Linked DNA regions of Oryzias latipes. The protein of the gene in region 3 binds, or shares a complex with, the protein of the main gene of each other region. Links are inferred from orthologs where the notes say so. Each region holds a gene or a part of one and is shown on either strand. Other genes may lie near its edges.

Region 1 (4,626 bases), on a different chromosome or scaffold from region 3:
GATCAGTCTGTGCGTCACAAATGATTAAATCTGCTCCTCTGCATTCCTCGCCCTGACATAAATGATATTATATTTGATTGTTCTAACCCTTCCATAGACATGGACCTCATAATTCATCTCCAGTGCACTAATCAGAGAGTAAACAACAGGTGGTAATAACCTAATCCCCCGTACAATAATGGGAAAGCTGACTCTCCCCGACGCTGAAGTTATTAAACTCCCTTCTGATATTACAGTTTACTGAAAGCAGCAGGGAGGTTTGTCTGTTCTGAGGAAATTTCCTTGTGACTTAAGGTTGGGGAGTAGGGGTGGGAGTGGGAGCAGACACCGATTCCTTTCCGTCTCTGGAGGTGGGAGTCTCTGGAGGTGGGAGTCTTCAGTCCTGACTCACTTGCTAAAAACCCAGACATGTTTCCAGGACATGAACACTGCAGGAAGTGAGGGGCTGGGGGTCCACTGCATTCTGCTCCCTTTTAAAGGGCCAGAGGCTCACACAAACACGCTGTCAGAACAAATTCCTTCCCAGAAACACTGCTATTGATGACTTGAACGCTGATAGCTTCTAAAAAATAATACTAATAATAATCTGGCATGGAGTTTGATTCCCCTAAAATCCTAATTAGATTTGAACAACATACCAATTTAGATTAACCAATTAGATTAACAGCAATAAGTACATACATGTTAAAAACACATAAAAATATGGTGTTACCATCGACATCAGTGGGCTTCTGGGTGTCAGCTGTTCCAACAGTTGGGTTATTGGTTGGTTCTGTGAGGGTCCCGCCACCATCTACCTGGCCCTCAGGTGAAAACGTGGGAGCCCCTGTCCCACGGGACGCCATGGTCACAAATGAAGGGCCCTGTTGCCTCGTTGAGGTAGTTTTACCTTTGACTGGTCAGTAAAAATAAACTGGACACACCCGGTTTTCTTTACTGTGTGTGGGAACACACGGAAGTGTCTAGTTTTTGGCGATTAAAAATAAACAATTTTAGAAATATTATTGTTTTTACAAAAAGCAGATATACTTAAACGCACTCAAAAATCAAAACCACGGTCACATATTTTGACATTTAAGCAGACTAGTAAGAAAATGCAGACTTCCAACTCAAATGTACTTTGACCTCAGTCTCGAGTGGACCTATGGGTAATGTAGTTAGTGTTCAATCGACTAGTCTTATTTTTGACTAAATGATTCTTGATTTCAGGAATGTAATCGTAAATTTTTAAAGAAAAATAATTGGAGAATTTATTTACATTTTCAAACGTCAAGAATTTGAGGTCCAAGAGTGCCAATGAACATAAAACTTGCTTAGACGCATCATTTCTGCTCGAGCGCGTGACTCCGCGTCATGTGACCCTTCTGTTGTTGTTTGCTAGCAGTTCCCGGTGACAAACGAAAAGCGTAACTTGTTGACTTATTGGTGAGTTTTTTAGTTTAAAAAAACGACCCGAAACATGTTTTTTGTATTTTTAAACTAAAAAGCCATGGCTGTTCCATAAAAGTCGTTTTGAGCAGCATTTAGCTCGACTCCGCTGAAGGTAAGAAGAACTCTCTATGATTGACTTGTAACGTCACAAACTGTTAGGAGACATACAGTCTACCTGTAAATATCTGTTTGTAGTCAAAACGGCAATGAATGTTAAATTATTGATGGATTCGTGTGTTCTCCATTTCAGATGAATGCGCTGGTAGCTCTGTGTCACTTCTGTGAGCTCCATGGCCCCCGGACCCTCTTCTGCACAGAAGCCCTGCATCCCCCATCCCCAGACCCGTCCTCCCAGACTGGTACCCCGGTGCCAGGAGACAGAGATAGAGATGGGGACCGTGAGGGTGAAGGTCTCACCATGAGGGCCAACAGCTCTACTACACCTAGAGGAGAGATGTGTGAGGTCAGTTTATCACGCTCTTGGCACCTGGACCTTAAAGTCCCACTCCGATCATCTATTTTCAAAACGTTCCCAGTGGCCTTTTAATTATGATTGTGCTGTTGGGGGGGGGGGGTTGGTAGTAAGCCTGCATGCAAGCCTGTTTGTTTACTTGTTTACGGCCCCTGTAATTGACCCCCATTCTAACATTCCCTGTGCAACAAAATGCCGACCAATATTGGAGCTAACCAGCCGTACAGTTTGGACGAGGAAAGCAAAGACTGAAGACGAATACAGAAATACGCAGAGAGGCAATTTGAAGCTTAATTTTCTTTATACATTCTATCATCAGAAAAATGGCACAAACACACGTTAAAAACAACAGAAACATAATTTTCATTGGAGTGGGTCTCTAAAGAGAACTTATCGGCTGGTAATCCATTTCCCACATGTCATTTTCTGTTTTTTTCTTTTTCTTTAACACCTTCTTAGGGATGCAGATCTCTGCCTGCATCTCACCCTGGCTTTGTGAGCTTCGATGATGAAACAGGAATTCGATTTCTGAGCCATCAGCATCCCAGGCAGCCGCAGCTTTTTAGCATGGTGCGCCAAGCCTGTGTACGCAGCCTCAGCTGTGAGGTAAACTTTGCTTAAACGATGTCTGCTCTCATTTTTGGCCCTAATTTCCGACCCAGTTTTCTCTGTTTTTGCCTCAGGTGTGTCCTGGACGTGAAGGACCGATATTTTTTGGAGACGAGCAACAGGGGTTTGTGTTTTCGCACACCTTTTTTATTAAAGACAGCCTGGCCAGAGGATTCCAGCGTTGGTACAGCATCGTTATTGTAGCCATGGACAGGATCTACCTCATCAATTCTTGGCCTTTCCTGTTACGTCACCTAAAGCTCACCATACACAGCCTGCAGAGCACAGCTCTAAAAGTAGGCCACAAAAACAAACAACCCCTTTGTTGATTCTGTATTGAGCTTAATTGACCGAACACATTTTTCTTTTATTAGGTATTTGACAGTGAGCAGGGGGTTTGCCCTCATCGAGCCATGCGGATCAACAATGCATTTTCCCCCGCAGTCTTTCCACACCAAAGAAGTGGGAACGCCGCCCGATCACTGACCTCTCTCACACAGCATCCCAATCTCTGGGCCAGCCTGCACTCTTCTTTTAGCTGGTGAGACAGTTGACCCGGCGTCACTCTGTCATTACTCCCCTTTAGGCTGATTTGTAGCTTCTCAGCTGTCAATAATGATTTGGGTCTTCACACCCTTCTTTCTGCAGGTTGCTAAAAGCCTGTGGGAGCCGACTGACGGAGAAGCTTCTTGAAGGTGCCCCCACAGAGGACACACTGGTGCTTATAGAAAGACGAACAGGTAAGCATGACGTCCAGGGCTACAAAACTGTTTGTGTCTGATCACACTAGAAGATTTCCTTCTTAAAACAAATAAGAAATATATAAAATATAGGATGCCTTTCCCTTGTTATAAAAGAAAAAAATCTGCCTATGGAACTAGTAGAATTTGTCTTGGTAAGATTTCTCAAAAAAGTTTTGATCTCCCGCCCTTTTTAAGACTAATTAAATGATGACTTTAGCTATAAATACTCATATTTAGGTTTATTGCTCTTAAAATGGGAAATATTAGGTCTTGAACTAAGCCTGATTTTCTTAAAAAAAAGTTTTATACCTATAAAGTAGGTATATTTGTACACTTTTCTTCCCCCCCAAATATGTCTTATGTCAAGCAACAGTCCAACAAATCATCCTGAAATAAGACTAGAATTACACATTTTAAGATCCATTTGTATTAAGGATTATTTAAAAAACACATATGAAACAAAACCACTCACCAGACAAATAAAACTTCAACTGAAAAATATTATATAAAGAGGAAAAAATGTGTTTTATTAATGATATTCATATAAAAACGAGATGTTTTCGAGATCAACTTACTCAACAAGATATTCAAAATGTATTGCCTTAAAACAAATTGGGTCTTTTATTTAGTTCAGGGGTCTGCAACCTTTAAGGGTTAAAGAGACATTTGGTCCAACTTCAAACTGACCAAAACCCACCGAGAAGTCCCACTGTTTTACAAAAATAAACTTTATTTATGTTTTTTGTGCCCATTAAGCCATTTATCTATGAAATTAGATTTAATTATGTACAAGAATAGAATTACATCACTTTACTTTTGACAGCTGCACATTAAAAAGTCCTTTCAAAATAAAATGACAACCCCCCCTGCTGCAGCAGATTTACTTAAATTAAAATGCAAGAAAGTCAAGTCAAACATGGTGCTTTCTGTTATTATGACTGTGGTATACCTTCATCCTGTTTATTTCATTTCACTATTCAATACATGATAATGACGTAGAATCCAATTGTTTTTACAAATCTATATATGTAAATGCAGTTGGACTTTATATAATTTAAGAACATTGTCTCTGAGCAGCACCTGGACATGTATTAAAAATCTAAACCTAAGTGACCAAAATAACCAAAACAAATCAACAAGAACTAAAACTCTTTATTTATATAAATTGTAACCGTTTTTCTTCAAAGCCAAAAAGCCACAAAATAGGGATTAAAGAGCCACATTTGGCTCATGTTAATGACCCCTGATCTAGTGTAATAAGATCTTCAAAATAAATACTAGACAGTAATACTTGGTAAGATTTTGCGTTTTTGCAGTGTAATGTTATTTGTGAGCTGGGTAGGCATTAAAACAAATCTACCTAATAAAAAA
Region 2 (4,549 bases), on a different chromosome or scaffold from region 3:
TTCACTCAAAGTTTTGCAAATTCATACTCTTTTTAAAATTGGTGATATTTAGCCTTTCTTGCAGCCACACTGTACATACTGATTAGATTTTTTTTGTAATTTCTTTTCTCCAAAAGACACTTTTATTCGTCATCATCATTTGTCCTTTCAGTTGCAGAGACTAGAATAGAAAAAACTGATTTTTTGACCTTTCATCTAAACTTCAGAGGTGTCAGAATGACCTCAAAGAGTTTTACTATAAATTTAAAGAGTTAACTTTTTTGTCACATATCTAGAAGGAAATGTGTTTATTTCCTTCTGCCAAAATGAGACTACATCCTCTCTGATTTTACACCACGTCTGTAGCTTTCAATGGTTGACGGTATAAACAAAACTGTAAACGGATGCACTTGTGTGACTATAATTTTACCAAAACACATATCAGAGAATACATATTAACCATGCACTCATGTACCATAGCAGTTACAGCATGGAATCAAATCAACTTTTGTTTATACAAATGATTGGTTTGTGTCTTTTTTATAAGTGTGTCCACTCAAACACAACAGATTTACCTCTTAGAACAAAATCCTCTTCTTACAGACAAAAAAAAAACAATAATATCCTCGGCCCGATCACTTTTTCTGATGTCCAAAGGGCAGGAGGGAAACGATTCTGCCAAACACTTTGCGCAAACATGTCCTCCCACCAGGAAGCCAGCAGACAATAAAAACCTCAAAGCAGACTAACCTTTACTGTAAGGAGGAGTGTCAAAAGATTTAAATAACACTTCTTTGGTTGAAGTAGAATAAAAAGTACACTTCTTTGAAGCATAAAATCTTTGAGATAAAAACTCTAAATATGACAAAGGAGATGAATCAAGGAGGTGAAGTTTTCGTCGTTCACTGAAGCAAACTATATTTCCCATGATACATTTCCAAAGAACTGGTCATATTCTAGCAGCTCTAATAGGTGTGAGTGTGAATGGGAGTGTGATTGTGGCCCTGCGACAGACTGGCAATCTGTCCAGGGTGTCCCCTGCCTTCACCCACAAGTGGCCGGGATAGGCTCCAGCAGCCCCGTGACCCAGAAATGGACAAAACGGAGGAAGATGAATGAATGGCCATATTCCAGTTCTCAAAAATGTTTACAGACTACATGGGAAAGTAATTTAAAACAAAAAGATTTGTGAAAAAATCAGGAATAATTAAAAATTTAAAAATAAAGTTTAAAGAAAAACATAATAAATATAAATAGGAAACATGTATTTGGATATAACTGCAATTCCCATGATGCATCTCTAAATGTACCGGAAAAGGAAACAGAAGAAGAATCGAGTCAGCTGACTTTGCTCTGTTATTGAGCAGTTCTCTCTTCTTTTTTAAGCCCCGTGTTTATTCAGTCAGATCATTTTTCTGGGTTTTTTCTCCTGAGAGAGGTCGGCCATGTTGCGACCCAAAGCGCTGACGCAAGTTCTCAGCCAGGCGAACACGAACGGCGTCCAGAGCACCCTGTGAGTACCGCGAGCTAGCAGGCTAACATCCAGCTAGCTAGCAGCGGTTTGTTTGCGTCTAGCTCCTTAGAACTCTTAAAGCTCCCCTGAAACGACACGTTTATATAATTATTACTTCACCAACTTAATACTACTTTTACATTTTCATTATTTATTGCAATAAATACAAATATATTTTTTCAAGATTTGTTTTCCGCTGTTAAATCAAATACAGTTTTACACGAATTTCAAGCAGTTGAATTTTGATTTCAAAATAAGAGTCTTTTTAAAATATATTTGGTTCGTTTTTATTTTTGCTTAGAAAGTCTGTTCAGGGTACAAAATATCATTATCAGGTAGAAAAAAAGCAAAAAAAATCGATTTACATTTAAAAAGTGGTGTGGGAAAATAAGTAATCTGTAATGTTTGATGTAGATCTGTTTGATATAGATCTGTTCATCGTTTTAGCCATTTTGCATCAATCGATCAATTTCTGTCCTGGAGACCTCCTGACAAAATTACTTGGTTTTCATGGTTTGAAAACGGAATGGCGTTTGTCTTAAAACTTTGTCACTGTAACTTTTCATCATTGTGTTGTTTTTGTGTGTAATGAACAACCGTCTCTCTGTGCGAGCAGCCTACTGAACAACGAAGGCTCCCTCCTGGCGTACTCCGGTTACGGCGACACAGACGCTCGAGTGACCGCTGCCATCGCCAGCAACATCTGGGCCGCCTACGACAAGAACGGCCACCAGGCCTTCAACGAGGACAAACTCAAGTTCATCCTCATGGACTGCATGGTGGGAACTTTCTCCTTGTTTTCCTTCAGCCCTTTTGTTGAAGTTAGATTCTATGAATGCCCCAACATCTCTGAAGGGGTCTGCAATTTGAGGCATCACAGCTGTTTTTTTTCCCCCTCCATTGTGACTTTAAAGAAAAAATGTGTATTATTTAAATAAAATAATGTGTTTGTAGTTTTGCTTTAGCATGCATACATGGTGGCACCTGTTCAGTCTGGTCTGTTTCAAACGGGACCAAATGGCTCTTTTAATGTTGTACAAAATATGAATAATGGGACTTGAGCAAACCTTCAGATATGGAAGGAGCTGGCTCTTGATACCAATAGCACCACAGGAAGACACCAAACACACACTCCTTGTACTCCTTGCCCATTTTTTTTTGCCCCGCTCTACAGTTTTGTAAACATTGCTCAAGTCAAACGTGTCAACGTCCTGCATCATTTTTCTCATGATACATAAATAATCTTCGCTCATGCAAACAACCAGATGATTTTCTTATTTCTAACTTCCAGCTCTGAGGCAAAATGTTTAACTTAATTCCCGAAAATCAGCGAATCCACACAGTAAAACCCCCACTCTGCCTTAGGAGGAGGGGCTTTGTGGAGAGTCTTGCTCTGTAGATGGAGGGGAAACCTGCTGCATTTGGTCGCATAAAAAAAGCTGAGATCCATTCTTTCAAACCTGTGATTCAGTTCGATTTGCGCCTCATCGCCCCTTATTCAGTAATAATTCATGTCTGCACATTAGCTGAGAGCTGCTGAACTGAGTGAAGGTCAGGCTTACATAAATACTGTCGTAAATCTGAGCATCGCAAACTAACAGCAAAGCAGTGTTCTGTGAGAAATCCATCTGACTTAGTGGATTTATGATTGGAAGTTACAACCTGTAAAGAAAAGTGACTTTTAGTCTTTGGACTCGACCAATAAAAAGGCTTTTTTTTTTTTTCTCAGGAAGGGAGAGTGGCCATAACGCATGTGGCTAACCTGCTGCTTTGCATGTACGCCAAAGAGACGGTGGGCTTCGGGATGCTGAAAGCAAAGGTGAGGGCGCTGCTTCCTCACATGGGTCTTCATCAGCTGTGGTTCCTCAACGAGTCCCGATTCCTGACCCCACAAGTTCAGTTCAACCAAGGACATTTATTCACTCGTTTATTCATTCACTCTCCTCTATGTAGTTTAGTGGAAGTGAAGCATATTTCAGATCAAATTCCGATTCCAAGTTATTGGATTTGGAGTTGCTGCCGATACCGAGTTCCGATCTGTTACTGTCGTAGCACATCCAAAAAAAAATGACAAACTTAATAAACAGATCAACATTTTCCAAATTTTTAAAATTTTATTAAGCTTCTTTTAGCATTTTACACGTAAACAGAGCACTTCTGGGAAGTATCTTCAACAATCAAGGAAAAGTAATGCAATTATCAAATAGAAAAAATAGTTAACTATAAACTAGTACAAACTTGTTAATAGTTAACTAGTCAAAATAGGTTAATTAGCCCTATGAGAAAGTTTGGTGACTGTAGCCTTAACATCTTCAGAACTGTTGAACATTTTTGATCAGATGTGATTCATTTCCCTGTTATAATATCAAATAATCAATTTCCAAATTCATCGTTGTAGCATAATTATGATGAGTATTTGTGACTTTCAACAGAACCATTGACTAATCGTTAGTATTTTTATTATTATTATTATTATTATTATTATTATTATGTATTTATTTATCTTGGTCTATTTTTCCCAGAACTTGCACTTTGTAGGCGGTCCCTTATCAGCCCACCATCAGTTTCATTCTCTTGAAAAGAATGAAAAAAAGAGCAATTTTTATTTATTTACTATTTACAGTCTTTGTAAGTCGTTGGTAAGTTAAGATGAGCCAATATAGACACTTGCTGTCAGTATAAAATGTTTGATATACCGTACTTATTGTGTCAGGAAGTCTGAATCTGTGAACAACTGGTTAACTTTCCCGAACTGTGTTTGTGCGCCTCCTGGTGGCGTATTCCTGCTCCGCTTTACGACAATAAAACGTCCTGATCCATTCAGGAAGTGCCGACTTCTAGTAGAGTATTTATCTGTAATGTTAAAAATATATATATAACGGTAATTTCATTTTGATTTGACTTATTGGTTTATTTCAAGCCTTAATTGAATTAATAATAATAATAGATTGGATTTATCTGTGCTTTTCCAGACACTCAAAGCGCTTCAAATGTGTCCATTATTCATTCACTCTTCATTCATAGTTGGTTCGCGCCTACGGTCCCTCGGACCATCAC
Region 3 (3,369 bases):
GCTCCACCCCTTTGGCCCCCTGACTCATGGAGCCAGAACCATTGGGGGGGATCTTAAGCAGACGTGGGTCAGAACCGCTCCACCCCTTTGGCCCCCTGACTCATGGAGCCAGAACCATGGGGGGGGGGGGGGGGCTTAAGCAGACGTGGGTCAGAACAGCTCCACCCCTTTGGCCCCCCTGACTTATGGAGCCAGAACCATGGGGGGGGATCTTAAGCAGACGTGGGTCAGAACCGCTCCTCCTGACATGTGTGTGTTTGTGTGTTGCAGTGGCACGTCCAGGCCACCTGTGCCACTCAGGGGACCGGTCTGTACGAGGGGCTGGACTGGCTGTCCAATGAGTTGTCCAAACGCTAAGCAGCTGACTGATGATGTCACCGTGTACAGAGGAAGAGGAGGAGCCTTCCGCCAGACTGTTCCTGTTTTTTTTTTCTTTTTTTAAATTATAGCTGTAGAAGGAAGTGATGTCACAGACTCTGAGGTTTCCCATCATCCTCTTCTTCTTCTGCCGGTGTTTGTTCTTTTATGCGCATGTTTTAAATCCAGATCATGTGACAGGATGTTTTGGGAGAGGGGTGGGGCTTGGGGCAGGTGAGAGCTACCTGGGCAGGTGACGAGTCATTCCACAGCCGGACCGGCGCCCCCGTCATTCCTGCCTAATGTGAAGAAGAGATGAAGAAGATGACGCAATAAAGCTTTTTCTTGTCACGCTGGTGGGCTTTGTTCTGAACCAGAACCTGCAGACTCTAGACCAGACCGGTCTCAGAACTGAATCTGGTTAAGGATCAGACAAACTTCAGGTTTTCGTATGTTTATTTGAATCAGTTTTCAAAACATTAAAACTTTATTTAAATGACAAGTTCTGACAGAAAATCTGGTTTCTTTGGGAGATGAAGATTTTATTTCAGAATCCAAAACATGCAGCAGAACCTTTGCAGGATCGGTCTTCCGCTCTGCCTTCAGAACCACTGTAGCTGACCTTGTTCTGTAAAGGTCCAGAACCTAAACGTAACTGGGTTCTGTCCAATGATCCAAACAGAACCGAAACTGTTTAGAGAACTTGCTCCAGTTCTGTGCGATTGGTGGGTCACATCAGTTCATTACTGAGCAAGTCGGTTCCGACTCGGTCCAAAGGTGGACTGTCGTCCTCTCCGCCTGGCCCCGCCTTCACGCTGTGACGTGCTCAGGATGCGCGTGCTGACGTTTGACCACAAACACCTTCTGACCGGAAACGGTCACCGCCAAGACGAAGTCCTCCAGAACCACTGCGAACAGAACCGAGTCAGGGCGGGGCATCACCAGCCGAGCTCACCTGTCAGGTGTGACTTACCGGACATGCGCTTAAACGGGACGTCCTCGGATCCGGGTGACCGGAAGTGGTCCGCAGATCCAGATAACCGGAAGCGGTTCGCGGTCCGGACCATCTGCATTATGACGCTCGCCGTGTGCTCGTCGTTCTCCAGCTCACCTGCCGACTGCACAGGTGAGCCTGCTCAGGTTCGGTTCGGTAACAAAGCTGGGCCCGGATACTACTTACCGCCAGAACTCCGTCCTCGCTGATCACCAAGTACCCGAGCTGGTCCGGGATCCGGTCCAGACCCGCCGTCAGCGCCGCCGTGCTCTGCACACAACACACGTGAGGTTCGGTGAGGTTCGGTTCGGAAAAGCGGCACGGAGACAGAGAGCGAACTCACCATTCTTCCGGAAGATGATCCTTCACGTGACTGCTGACGTAGGCTGGTGGGCGGTGCCTTTCAGGCCTTCCAAGCGACTTCCGGTCTGTTTCGCTACACTTCCTGTTTACTTAGTCAATAGTTTTCTTCTATCTGAGCATGTATTGATTATGGGGTAGATTCTATGTAGACGTTTGTAGCAGACGTCTCTCATCTTGTTATTAATTAATCATTTCTGATTCAGGGTCCAAACATTTTTCCAGGACGAGTCAGGAATAAATGTTCTCCAATAGAAAACAGCAGAGGAACAGAAATGACGTTTAGCTGAAACACGGATGATCTTGTTATTCTTTAGTTGAAACAAGATTTTCCAACATTAGTGTCACTTAGAGACATGAAGGGAATATTTGCATCAAGTACAGTATTTTTAAAGAGTTCACAGATTCAGTAGGAACGGCGTCCCCAGTAGGATATTATTGTCAAACCAATGATTGTAAAATAAAGATTTGTTCTTGTAAAGGATATCTCTGTTATTCCAAATAAAAAACTTATGAGGAGAAAAGTTGTGTTTATAGATAAGAAAGAAGAATCTGTGAAAAGCAGAGATTTTCACTGGGATTCTGTCGATATTATAATCACAAAGCAGAAGAAAATGGAGAAAAGCTACTTTAGCAAACATGTGACGAGGGAAAATATTCCAAATGGAGAGTGGATTTTTGAAATATCATCCAGTTTATTTTAAAAGTATTATTTAAAGTAGTAAGATCAAGAAAATTTAGGCCTCCTTTTTCATAGGAGTTCATTAATACAGATTTTTTAAATAATGAATCCGGTTTTTCCAGATGAAGTTTAGCAGCATTTGATCAATAGATTTCAGAGTCTGATTGTCCAGAATTAGTCAGTCTAGAAATCCCCTCTGCTGTGGAGAGTGAATCCTTCCTCAGACTCTGGTCTCTCTGAAGCCTTTGGTTCAAACGTTTTTTGGCTTCATCAATGAGGGGGAGGGAAATTTAATGAGCATCTTTCTAAACTACTTTTGGAAATATTAACGCCTAAATATGTTACAGTTTCTATTACAGGACTGTTGCAGATTCTAAAGCACAATCTTCAACAGAAAGAAGTTCTTATTTGTTCAGACTGAGACGTAGACCTGAGACATCAGAGACAGACTGGATACGGTTCAGAGATCAGGAAACCTGACTGCTGTCTCTGAAGAAGAGAGTCGTGTCATCAGCAAACTGACTCATTAACATTTCTTTATTAAGAACTGAGACGCCTTTTAATTTATGAATATTGATACAATCAGCAAGAGTTTGGGTAACTAGAAGAAAAAGATACGGTGAAATAGGACCCCCCCCCCCATCTGATTCCTCTATTGGGATTGAATCTGGGGGGGGGCATTTTTTAGTTTGACAGAACAGTTAGCATTAGCATACAGAGTTTTAACTGTATTACAGAAGAAATGTATGAAGACAGCTGAAGATAAAATGATGATTAACAGAGTCAAACGCTTTATAAAAGTCTAAAAAGAGAATCAACTGTCATCAGAGATCAGGTGTGAGGAATCTAGAATATCAAGAACTAGACCAATGTTATTGGAGATGTGTCTGAATCCTGATTGTGTCTCTGCAATAACTGAGTTTAGAACAGATTTAAGTCTCTTTGCAAAGACAGATGCAAGAATCTTGTAGTCATT

The links.
Region 1: lamtor4 (region 3) and flcn share a complex: the UniProt entries of both Homo sapiens proteins name them as parts of the lysosomal folliculin complex. The link is inferred for Oryzias latipes from reciprocal best matches to the Homo sapiens genes LAMTOR4 and FLCN.
Region 2: lamtor4 (region 3) and lamtor2 share a complex: the UniProt entries of both Homo sapiens proteins name them as parts of the ragulator complex. The link is inferred for Oryzias latipes from reciprocal best matches to the Homo sapiens genes LAMTOR4 and LAMTOR2.

The regions. Positions count from the first base shown.
Region 1 is NC_019874.2:19,461,673-19,466,298, reverse strand, and holds the start of flcn (folliculin), read left to right. Parts: upstream 1-1,355; 5' UTR 1,356-1,425; exon of another isoform or gene 1,426-1,543; intron 1,544-1,681; coding exon 1,682-1,894; intron 1,895-2,362; coding exon 2,363-2,509; intron 2,510-2,586; coding exon 2,587-2,808; intron 2,809-2,886; coding exon 2,887-3,053; intron 3,054-3,160; coding exon 3,161-3,252; intron 3,253-4,626. Other genes in the region: leng9 (leukocyte receptor cluster member 9), read right to left, coding at 713-845. UniProt on the Homo sapiens protein: Multi-functional protein, involved in both the cellular response to amino acid availability and in the regulation of glycolysis.
Region 2 is NC_019874.2:28,619,848-28,624,396, reverse strand, and holds the start of lamtor2 (ragulator complex protein LAMTOR2), read left to right. Parts: upstream 1-1,278; 5' UTR 1,279-1,424; coding exon 1,425-1,492; intron 1,493-2,108; coding exon 2,109-2,271; intron 2,272-3,221; coding exon 3,222-3,311; intron 3,312-4,549. UniProt on the Homo sapiens protein: As part of the Ragulator complex it is involved in amino acid sensing and activation of mTORC1, a signaling complex promoting cell growth in response to growth factors, energy levels, and amino acids.
Region 3 is NC_019881.2:23,887,719-23,891,087, reverse strand, and holds lamtor4 (ragulator complex protein LAMTOR4), read right to left. Parts: upstream 1,804-3,369; 5' UTR 1,698-1,803; coding exon 1,695-1,697; intron 1,622-1,694; coding exon 1,538-1,621; intron 1,476-1,537; coding exon 1,331-1,475; intron 1,266-1,330; coding exon 1,168-1,265; 3' UTR 807-1,167; downstream 1-806. Other genes in the region: ADP-ribosylation factor 4, read left to right, coding at 271-357. UniProt on the Homo sapiens protein: As part of the Ragulator complex it is involved in amino acid sensing and activation of mTORC1, a signaling complex promoting cell growth in response to growth factors, energy levels, and amino acids.